2 linked regions of the Callithrix jacchus genome follow. The protein of the gene in region 1 purifies or fractionates together with the protein of each later gene. This does not show direct contact. Links are inferred from orthologs where the notes say so. Each region holds a gene or a part of one and is shown on either strand. Other genes may lie near its edges.

Region 1 (7,010 bases):
ATTAGTGAATGAATATATATATATACATGTAAGGCTAAATGAATAAAAGGAACTTTGGTGGAAAGAGACCCACATTTGGAATGTAAACAGACTGAGAATTATAGAGAGACAAAAAGACAATTCTTTTAATTTTTGTTTAAAAATCCTTGAGTGAAGAGAACTGAGAATTTTTTTTATAAAAGGGGCCTTGGGATTGCTAGGGTGAGTGTGAGGACCAGGCGGCAATAACAGCATTGGAGGGGTTGATGGGGAAGAAATGAGGGTTGAAGGCCTGGAAGAGGAGAGTGGAGGGTGGGCACAGAGCAGGTAGAAGGGGAGCCATTTCCTACAGGTAGGAGCGCAGGGCAGCAACAGCTCAGCCACTCAGTCATCCCATTCATCATCTTCATCTTCATCGCCAGCTTGGTCCTCCCCTTCATCTGGAGGGAAAGAGAAAGATGCCCTGGGAGGTTGGTGGGGGGCTTCATAGGGTCTGGGAGGTAAGGACTTGACCCTGGGGGGCTGAGGTCTCCTGCTAGAAGATGGTACATTAGAGTTTCCATTTGGGACAAGAGAGGAATTATAGGTAGGGTCTGAGTTCTAATTGGAGTTGAAGTTTATATTGTCAAAAATGTGGTTAGTCCAGATGTTGTCAAATAAAGGGTTAATGTTAACCTATTTATTGGAGTGAATTTAAATATTATTAGCAAAGGCAGGATAATTTATTATTGTTTTTTGTCTGGTTAATGCTAATATTTTTGACACATAATGAGGTTAATGACAATAACATTATCAAAATTAGCTGGGCGTAGTGGTGCACCTGTAGTCTCAGCTACTCAGGAGGCTGAGGCAGGAGAATAGCTTGAACCCAGGAGGCAGAGGCTGCAGTGAGCCAAGATCGTGTCACTGCACTCCAGCCTGGGTCACAGAGCAAGAGTCTGTCTCAAAAAAAAAAAAATCATTGTCAAAAGATGAAGTTCCTATAATATTGTCATATAATAGATTCACCTTAATCTGTGGACACACTGTGGTTAATGTTGTTAACATTAATGTCAAAATTGGAGTTAATTGTATTATTATCATTTAGTGGGTTGAGATTAATATTATCATCATATAATGATTAGTGACAGTATTACTGACACATTAAGAGAGTAATAGTAACATTATCATAAAAAGATAAGGTTAACAGTCAGGCATGATGGCTCATGCCTGTAATCCCGGCACTCTGAGAGGCTGAGGTGGGCAGATCACTTGAGCCCAGGAGTTGCAGAACAACCTGGGCAACATAGTGAGCTCTCATCACTACCAAAAAAGCATCAAAAATGAGCTGGGTATGGTGGTCCATGCCTGTAGTCCCAGCTACTCTGGGAGCTGAGGCAGGAGGATCGCTTGAGCCTGGGAGGTTGGGGCTGCAGTGAGCCATGATTGCACCACTGTACTCCAGCCTGGGACACAGAGCAAGACCCTGTCTCAAAGCATTTAAGAAAAAATATTACATTATAAGATTATTATCTCATAATGAATTAATATAAATCTGTTGACACGTGGACTTAAAGTTAATATTATTGTCAACAATGGTGTTCTTCATAATATTTTCATCACATAGTGGGTTAATGTTTCTTTTTTTTGAGATAAGATCTCTGTCACCCAGGCTGGAATGCAGTGGCACAATCATGGATCACTGCTGCCTTGACCTCCCAGGCTCAAGCAATCCTCCCACCTCAGCCTCCCAAGTAGGTGGGACCACAGGTACTTGCCACTATGCCCAACTACTTTTTTAAAATTCTAGTTTTTGTGGAGACGAGGTCTTACTATATTGCCCAGGCTGGTCTCGAACTCCTGTGCTCAAGGGATCCTTCTGCCTTGACATCCCAAAGTTCCTGGATTACAGGCATGAGCTACCGTGCCCGGCCAGCTGATGTTACTGAACATAAGGGAATAACCTTAATATTGTGGACACACCCTGGCATTAATGTTAATATTATTGTCAAAGTTGGAGTTAATTATATTATTGTCACATAATGACTTAATGTTAACATTGTCAAAAAGGAGACTGACACAAGATTCATGTTAATGCTGTCAACAGATGGGACTAATGTCAGTATTGGTGGTGACTGCTGGGATTGTTTTGAGGCCAGTGCTAGCCCTGGGAGCCAGGTTTGAGGCCCTGGCAGGATCAACTCACCGGAGGAGTGGATGGCTCTGCTTCTCTTCTGCATCACATTCATCAGGGCCCCCACCAGTCCCTCTGAGCTCTGAGGTGGTGGCTGCAGTGCTGAGCTCTCTGTGGTACCAGGGGTCTGCAGCAGGCAGGGGTCAGCACAGAGGGTTCAGGGCCTGGGAAAGGAGCATTTCTCCCTGCCCCTCCATCATTATTTTCCCTTCCACACACTCCAGTCCCCTTCAAGGCTCCCCATCAACTTTTCTTTCTTTTCTTTTTTTTTAGAGATGGTGTCTCACTATGTTGCCCAGGCTGGAGTGCAGTGGCTATTCACAGGCACGATCCCACTATTGATCAGCACGGGAGTTTTGACCTGCTCCGTTTCCCACCTGGGCCAGTTCACCTCTCCTAGGCAACCTGGTGGTCCCCCGTTCCTGGGAGGTCACCATATTGATGCTGAACTTAGTGCGGACACCCGATCAGCATAGCGCACTACAGCCCAGAACTCCTCGGCTCAAGTGATCCTCCCATCTCAGCCTCCCAAGTAGCTGGGACTACAGGCACATGCCACTGTGCCCGGCAACTTTTCAACTCTATCACTGAATCCCCAAGGCCTGGCACTCTCCTCGGTCCTGGCCTCAGTCCCCCAGTATCTTGACTTGCAAAGGACACCCCAGAGTCCCAGACCCCCAATCCTCCATCTTGCCTGTCCTCACCTTGTTCAGCTGAATTCCCTGCCGGATTTGATCCAAAAGTGCTCCCCGACCCCCACCAGGGGCCAGGCCCCCACCAGGCACCAGAGCAGGAGGGAGTGGGGGAGGGGCTGGTCCATCCCCGGAGCTGGGCGGAGGTGGTGGTGGTGGCGGTGGCGGTGGCATGGGTGGCCCACCAGCTCCAGGGGGTGGAGGGGGCAGTGGTCCAGAACGTCCAGTGGCTGGAGGAGGTGGTGGTGGAGGGCCCCCTCGGCCTGGGAGTGGGGGTCCCCGGGGCGCTGGTGGAGGTGGGGCAACCCCCAAAGGTACAGGGGGCAGTGGACCAGAACGACCCTTGTTACCCCCCACAATAGGGGGCCGGGGGGGCTGGTTCCCTCCTCGAGATGGTGGTGGGGGTGGTGGAAGCGGCTCTGTGGAGGGGGGAATAACACATAGCTGTAACTCTCACTGATACCTTCTGAGCCTTAGTTTTGCTCATTTTTAAAATGGGATCCCCCCCACGACCAACTCCTGATTTAAACGGTATAGGTGCTCCCATAAGGATAGAGTGACTTAGTGAATCTCTTAGCTGTGAGCTGCTAGGGCTGGAGAAAGGGGCATATAGAAGCAGGGGCTCACCCTGGCGCCTCATCTCCTGCCGCACAGCCTCCAGCCCACCCTGGTCCTCAATGAAGTCGTAGATAAGTTTAGAGGTCTCGGCGTCAGTGAGCTGGGCCTCGCTGATTCCTGCCCTGGAGAATAGACTCCGCAGATCTGGGTCAAGGTTGTTCACCTGCCCAGGAGGAAAAAGGCCAGGGGCAGGAGTAGAGGAATAAGGTGAGGAGAAAATCAACACGAATTGTCCATCAGGTCCATCCCAGCGAGGGATCTGAGAGCGGGTGGGAAGGGCAGAGTCTAGGAGTGGGGTTTCAGCAGTGGTCTGTGGAAGGGTGGGTAGTTTAGTGGAGTCCAAGAGATTCTGAAGTTACTCACGTCAAATCCATTCTGGGGGTCCCACCCTACGTGACTGACATGCCTGAAAGAGGTGAAGAGACTCCAGTGAATCCTCAGTGCCCCTCCTTCCCTCCCTTTGTAGTGAAGCCCTCTTGTCCTCTCCTGCCCAGAAAGACTCTGAGGGACCAGAATTAACAAATGAGACTGAATGAGTGAATGAGTATGAGCAGGAGTTATGGAATTAGAAGGGATCCATAGTTTGTGGTGCCAATCCATCCATCCCTCTTTCCTCATCTATTCACCCATGCATGTGTCCACCTATTCATTCACATTAATCTGTTGGACCACTGATCCACCCATACATCTGTTTCTGCAACTGTCTGCCCACATATGTCTGTTCACCCATTTGTCTACCAATCTGTCCTCACACACACTTGTCCATCTACCTACCCATGTGCCACTTTTCCATCCATCCACTCACTCATTTTTCTACCCATGCAACCACACACTTCTGTTCACTTATCCATTGAACTGTCCATTCATCCACCTATCTATCCACCTGTCCATCACCATCCACCTTGTCTGTGAACCAGTCAGCCTGCATATCAGTCTGTCCACACACTCATCCACTCACCCATCCATCTACTCACCCACCTCCCATCAACCCATCAACCCGTCCATCCAACCACTTATCCATTCATTCTTCAACCTATTCATTCTTCCATGCATTTATGCATCCATCCACCCATCCACTCAGCCACCTACCCACCAGCCCACCTCATCCATCATCTACCTCATCTATTCATCCATTCATCCACCTGCCCACCCATCTTCTCCTCTAACAGCCCACTCAGAGTGGGCCCAGGGTGAGGCAAGTGAGGTGCCTGAGGTGTAAAATTTAAGTGAGTCAGGAATTACAGTTGCATGCTCCTAAGAGTGAATACCTCCTTAAATTTTTCACACTTACTGCCTTATTTACCTCTCTCTAGACCCAGCCCTACACCTACCTATCCATCCACTTATTTACCCACCCAGTCACCCAGCCATCTGCCCATCCTTCCATCCACTCAGCTGTTCACTTGTTTATGTGCCCCTCTGCCCCAGGAATCTATGGGCCCACTGGGGAGTGATTCTCACTTGAATCCACTGGGTGCACCAATATCAGCTTTGCTGATCTTCTTCTTCCCTGAGCGTTTCTTATCAGCTGGGCCAGGTACAGGTGCTGGGAGTCCACGGTATCGTGAACTTGTGATGTCAGGGTTCTGGATGTCTACTGTCGCCAGCCCCAGGGACAGCGGACCAGCAGGTGGGCCTGTGGGGAAAATAGGGTGGTTGGCCCATTGACCCACTTACCAACCAACCAAAGCATAGGGGCAAGAAACAGAAGCCTTGGGGAAATCTGTGTGTGTGTTGGATGGTCATGGAGGGAGTGGGTGAAGGGTTCAAGGAGGGTCTATAGAGAAGTGAGTGGATCCTGCAAACCATTCATACATTCACTGATTCATTCATTATTTTCATTCCCTCATGGTTTATCATTCACTGGCTCACTGACTAATGAATTTGTTAACATTTTCATTTACTGATTTATTTATTCATCCTGCTTTCTTCACTGACCAAATTTGTCTTGTACTCGTTTATTCACTGTTCATTCATTCACTCATTCACGAATTTACTCAGTCATCCATACACCCTTTCATTCATTTATCCACATACCCATTCACCTATGCATCTATCTTTTTTTTTTTTTAAGATGGGGTTTCACCATGATGGCCAGGCTGGTCTTGAACTCCTGACTTCAGGTGATCCACCCACCTCGGCCTCCCAAAGTGGTAGGATTACAGGCGTGAGCCACAGCGCCCGGCCCACTTATGCATCTATCTATCTACTTAGACTTTCATCCTCCCATCAATTCATCCCTCCACTCAGCCATCTGCCACGAATCCACCCACCCGTCCATCGATCCCCACATCCATGCACCCACTCATCCATCCACATACCCATCCATTCACCCACTTAGGCACCCATCCAACTGCTCATTCCTCCATCCACTCTTCCACCTACCCACCCATCCATCCAGAGACACAGGGAAGAATCAGCACGCACCTCCTTGGTCTCCACCTGGGTGTGGGGGCAGGGGTGGGAGCCCTCCTCTTCTCTCTGGGAAGATGGGATGTGTCAAGAGCTATCACAACTCTGCCACAGGTTCTTGGGATAGCCCCTTATTACCCCTACTTGTACTAGAGGACTCACCTTCATTGGCTGGTGTTGGTGGTGGGGGTAGTTGGTGTCTGTCTGTGGATAGACAGATGGATTGGGAGTGAAAACCATGAGAGGAGACTTTTCTAGTTTCCCATACTTACACTCACTTCTGCCCAATTTCCTTTCCTCCCCTGCAGCCTCCTCACCTCCACTTTGCCTCTGATTCCTTTTTTGTATCTTCTCCTGCACCAGGGCCTGGAAGGCCTGGGCCTCGCCCTCGTCTGCAAAGTTCAGCCCCGCTTGGCAGTCCTGCACATACCTTGGGGTCAGCCACCTCCCAGGTCCCCCGCAGCTTTCCCATCTCCTCTCCAAAACCCAAGTGAGGCTCAAGGGCTGGTTGGTCACTTACATCTCCAGTGAAGGTGTGGAAGAAGGGGGTGGGGGTGGAGTAGACAAGCTGTGAGTACAGCTCCTGTTCCCAGAGAAGCCGACCAGCCTGGAGAGGTGTAGGGTGGGAGACACAGTGGCACTGAGGCAAGCCGGGGGTGGCAGGCCTTTGTTAGCTGGGCAGGGAGCAGGGTGTCTGGATTTGGGGGTCTCATAGTCTGGTTTGGAGATTTTTAGCTCAGTACCAGAGAGCTGGGGAATCTAACAGTGTGGATGTGGGGAGTTGGGGTACAATCTAGGAGTCAGACACTTTTGTGAGAGGTTTGGATTTGGGGTTCAGGGCCCTAGATGTGGGACTCGGGAGCTTGAATTTCATAATTTAGGACTCTAGTCTTAGGAAGTTGAGACTCATTCAGAGACTCAATCTGTGCCCTTCCCTGCCACCCCAGCCCCAATTAATGACAGGTAGGATTCTGGTATTTGGGAGTTAGAGTTGAGATTTGAAGTTCAAACACATAGATTTGGGAGTTTTGTGGGGAGTCCAGCTAAAGTAAGTGCAATTTGGGGTTTGTGGAGAAGAGTCATGGCTTAGGAGTTTGGTCAAGCTTTGACAGGCTTGGGATCTTGAAGTTATGCTG
Region 2 (4,256 bases), on another chromosome or scaffold:
GTTACAGTTTCAGGTGAGGATCAGCCAGACATAACTGTTGTCTTAATCTTTAAATGTCATATTTAGCCCTGTGGTCTTCTTAACATCAAGGTATTTACAGAGAATTTGTTAAATGCTCAGTGATTTCAAGAGTTCCCTTCAATTTTACTTATCAATGAAATAATCATTTAATTTTCCAGTACAGATAAAGAATGTATGGTATTTTTCCATATTATAAAGGTAAATTCTAAAAATTATTAAACCATAATTTTAAAAATGAACTGCACCTGTATTCATTACGTCAATTCTTCCTGACAAGTGATTTGTAATAATCACATCAAACATACCTTCAGCTTTGAAAGGAAAGTCCTCAGAGATCCAAAAGAAAAAGAAACTCAGCCAGGCACGGTGGCTCACGCCTGTAATCCCAGCACTTTGGGAGGCCCAGGTGGGCGGACCATTTGAGGTCAAAAGTTCAAGATCAGCCTGGCCAACATAGTGAAACCCCGTCTCTACTAAAAATACAAAAAAAAAATTAGCTGGGTGTGGTGGCACACACCTGTAGTCCCAGCTACTGGGGAGGCTGAGCATAGGAATCGCTTGAATCCAGGAGGCAGAGGTTGCAATGAGCCAAGATCATGCCACTGCACTCCAGCCTGGGCAACAGAGCAAGTCTTTATGTTTCTCCATCTCAAAGAAACCAAGAAACACAAAGCATCACTTAATATCACTTTTCTTTTTATTTTCCTTTTTAAATTTTTTTTTTAATTTTCTAATTTAAAGACAGAGTCTCACTATATCGCCCAGGCTGATCTCAAACTCCTGGACTCCAGCTATCCTCCCGCCTTGGTCTCCCAAAGTGCTGGGATTACAGGCTTGAACTACCTCGCCTGGTCTCATTCAGTAACTAACAAAACATTACAGGTAGGTTTCAAGTTTTATTTACATGGACCTGAAAGCACTACAGAAACCTGGACAAAAGATAATGCCTAGAAAAATAAGTACACATTTAAAAATTTAATACATGAACCAACAGCTAGTAGATCTGAACACTCTGCAATCTATCTTTATGGATATTAGAGCCAATTCCCACAGACCATAATTTTCCCAAAGAAGAAAGCCTCAGAGCTTGTGGTCAAGATGAAAAGAAAGTACCATTTATTAACCAGTGCATATTACTATCAAGTTGTGAATGGAATGCCTATTTAAGAACATCACTGACTCCATCCCCACAAGAAAATAAAGTGTTTTAAAAAAAGAAAAGAACAAACGTTGACAATTACCAAACAAACAAAACTTTCTTATTGGGTTATTTCCCCATTTACTGTGTGACCTCGCTGAAGGCTGAGAGTTTAGACATAGCGCTTTCCAGGTGCTGAAGAAATCATTATTGTTGGTTTGCCGTAAGTCTATCCAAGAAAGATTTTTAAAATGAGTACTTTGGCTGGGCACGGTGGCTCACACCTGTAATCCCAGCATTTTGGGAGGCCGAGCCAGGCGGATCACGAGGTCAGAAGATGGAAATCATCTGGCCAACACGGTGAAACCCCGTCTCTATTAAAAATACAAAAATTAGCTGGGGGTGGTAATGGCCCGCGACGGTAGCACGGCTACTCGGGAGGCTGAGGCAGGAGAATCGCTTGAATTCGGGAGGCGGAGGTTGCAAGTGAGCCGAGATCGCGCTACTGCACCCCAGCCTGGCGACAGAGCAAGACTCTGTCTCAAAAAAAAAAAAAAAAAAAAAAAAAATCAGCAACAACCAAAAAAAAATGAGGACCTCTTGGCAACACTTACCCGTTTTGGGGCATTGAGCTGCTTTGCTCCCCTCCCAAAAAGGAGTTGGAAATTCTTCTTAACCTCATTCTTTCACAATTCCTAAGGCTTCTTACCTAATATAACGTGTAGAATTATTTTCAGTTGACTCCAGATCCATCGATTTGACACCGAGAGCCTTCCTACCGTTACGTCCTCAGCCCTGAACAAATCCAGCTTCCTGAGCTTCTAACGGCAAATTTAACTTATACGTTAACATACAAGAAATGTTACAAAACTATCGAGATAATTTTTTTACCAAACATATTACAACTCAAGTCAAAAGTTTACACCCCCAGCAACTCGCGTACGAATGTGAAGCAGGTCCAGACGTTTAAAGTCAAAGCCCCGGACCAGAAAACCGCCGGCGGGTAGGGGGAGGGGCGAGGGCGCGTCCCGAATATGTCCACCCTCAGCACCGCGCAGGCTGCCGCCCCCTCCTCCTCTCGGGCTGGAGGTGAGAGCGCCCTCCCTTCTACCACGTCCCTACCTTCCCGGTCTTGGATTACGCCACAGCTGGCAACAGGACTTTTTCAGTAGAAAATAGACAAGCCGGCGAGCGAGCCGCACACTCGACCTCCCAGCCTCGCAGGGGCGGTCGCCCGGGCTCTAACCCCGACGCAGCGCTCCAGGGGCTGACAAGGAGGCCACGGGTTCGCGCTCCCTGGGGCAGAGCCCCAAGGGTCTCGCGGAATCCCAGTGCAGACGTCCGGGCCCCGCCGAGCAGCCTCCGCATCCCCTCCGGCTCAGCTCCGAGCCTGCAGACGGCGCCCCCGGGGCTAACTCAGCGGGGGAAGAGGAAGCGACGCAGCGAGTAACAGGCTGTGAGGACGGACAGCCGACTGAAGGAGGGGGTGTGTGTGTGTCGGCCTCCCAGCAAGGCCATCTCACCCTCCGTCTTCCGTGCCGGCTAGCTCCAGCTCACCTGAGGAAGGCACCGGGACGCCGCCGCGGTCGCCGTGATGACCGTAACGGCACGAGGCCTGCGCTCTACCGCCGCGTAGCTCTCGGGAGAGGGGCGGGGCACGCGCGGTGGGCAGGCGGATCCGCGCGGGCAGGAAACCCACTCCCGACCCAATCTGATAGGTTCAGTCGCCCCCTTTCCCGGTCCTTGACGCGACAGTGGTCTGTGCCGCACTGGGATTGGGCGGGCCCACTTGTCAATCAAGCGCCGTTCGTACTGTGGAAAGAGCTGAGGCTGCGCGGCGGAAAGAAGACAGCGAGAGGGTGAGAAGCGGTAGGCCAGACCACGACTGTCTTCGGTTTTCCCTCTGCGGTTGCTCTGGGTGGTTACTTTGAGCCTTCCGCCCCAGCGCTGCAGGAGAGACTCTACAGCAAAAATGACAGCGTCCTGAGCTAACCCCCACTGTTCAGGGAGCCTCCCCCTGGTTTCTGCACCTGAAGAATGTCTTCCCAGCCGAAGGTGCTTAGGAGCAGGGAGGGACAAAGAAAAACAAATAAAAAGACCTGAAAATTGGGACCTGGGAGAAATGTAAGACATGTGGCTTTTTTTTTTTTTTTTTTTTTGAAACAGAGTCTTGCTCTGTCGCCCAGACTGGAGTGCAGTGGCGTGATCTCGGCTCACTGCAACCTCCGTCTCCCGGGTTCAAGCGATTCCCCGCCTCAGCCTCCTGAGTAGCTGGGACTACAGGCGCGCGCCTCCACCACGCCCGGCTAATTTTTTGTGTTTTAGCAGAGACGGGATTTCACCATGGCTGAGATGCTCTTGATCGCCTGACCTCGTGATCCGCCTGCCTCGTCTTCCCAAAGTGCTGGGATTACAGGCGTGAGCCACGGCGCCAGGCCGACTTGTGTTTAATTTGAGGCACAGACCAAAATAAACTGAGTCTGAGGTCCCTCTAAAAGGACCCTCGTGCTTGGGCAGCTTCCAGTCTTGGCGACAGTAGTGTTATGAAGAGGATCTTCGGAGCTAGGTCTGCCTGTTATAAGGTTTCCAGCCACTGGCTGAAGCATCAGTAAGTGTGCTGCAAACCGTAGTAACCTTTTTTTTTTTTAGACGGGGTCTCGCTCTGTCGCCAGGTTGGAGAGCAGTGGCGCGATCTCGACTCACTGCAACCTCCGCTTTCTGGTTTCAAGCGATTCTCTCCCTCAGCCTCCCTAGTAGCTGGGTCTACAGGCACGCGTCACCACGCCCGGCTAATTTTTGTATTTTTATTAGAGACGGGGTTTCACCATGTTGGTCAGAATGATTTCCATCTCTTGACCTTCTCATCCGCCTGTCTCGGCCTCCCAGAGTACTGAGATTACAGGCATGAGCCACCACACCCTGCTGCCTCATTTCTTCTTAACCATCTTTGTGGTTCAGTTTAGGGTCGCTCCTCAGGGAAGCTTGCCGAGTTAGGTATCCTTGAGCACAGGTATTTTCTCCATCCGAGCTATTGAAATGGTTTGTCTGTATCCCTACGTGGATTGTAAACTCCATTGAATCAGGAACCGTGTCTGTT

Evidence for each region. Proteins that work in one complex are often made in the same cells at the same time.
Region 2: the proteins of WAS (region 1) and NCK1 purify together in Homo sapiens (affinity purification with western blotting; 4 studies listed by BioGRID and IntAct, with this or other methods). This does not show direct contact. The link is inferred for Callithrix jacchus from reciprocal best matches to the Homo sapiens genes WAS and NCK1.

Annotation. Positions count from the first base shown.
Region 1 is NC_133524.1:49,253,886-49,260,895, reverse strand, and holds the end of WAS (actin nucleation-promoting factor WAS), read right to left. Parts: intron 6,482-7,010; coding exon 6,395-6,481; intron 6,295-6,394; coding exon 6,192-6,294; intron 6,079-6,191; coding exon 6,037-6,078; intron 5,944-6,036; coding exon 5,890-5,943; intron 5,099-5,889; coding exon 4,924-5,098; intron 3,869-4,923; coding exon 3,826-3,868; intron 3,626-3,825; coding exon 3,472-3,625; intron 3,264-3,471; coding exon 2,857-3,263; intron 2,280-2,856; coding exon 2,165-2,279; intron 420-2,164; coding exon 364-419; 3' UTR 103-363; downstream 1-102. UniProt on the Homo sapiens protein: Effector protein for Rho-type GTPases that regulates actin filament reorganization via its interaction with the Arp2/3 complex. Important for efficient actin polymerization. Possible regulator of lymphocyte and platelet function.
Region 2 is NC_133518.1:47,382,852-47,387,107, forward strand, and holds the start of NCK1 (SH2/SH3 adapter protein NCK1), read right to left. Parts: upstream 2,801-4,256; 5' UTR 2,717-2,800; exon of another isoform or gene 2,282-2,716; intron 1,974-2,281; exon of another isoform or gene 1,869-1,973; intron 495-1,868; exon of another isoform or gene 327-494; intron 1-326. UniProt on the Homo sapiens protein: Adapter protein which associates with tyrosine-phosphorylated growth factor receptors, such as KDR and PDGFRB, or their cellular substrates. Maintains low levels of EIF2S1 phosphorylation by promoting its dephosphorylation by PP1.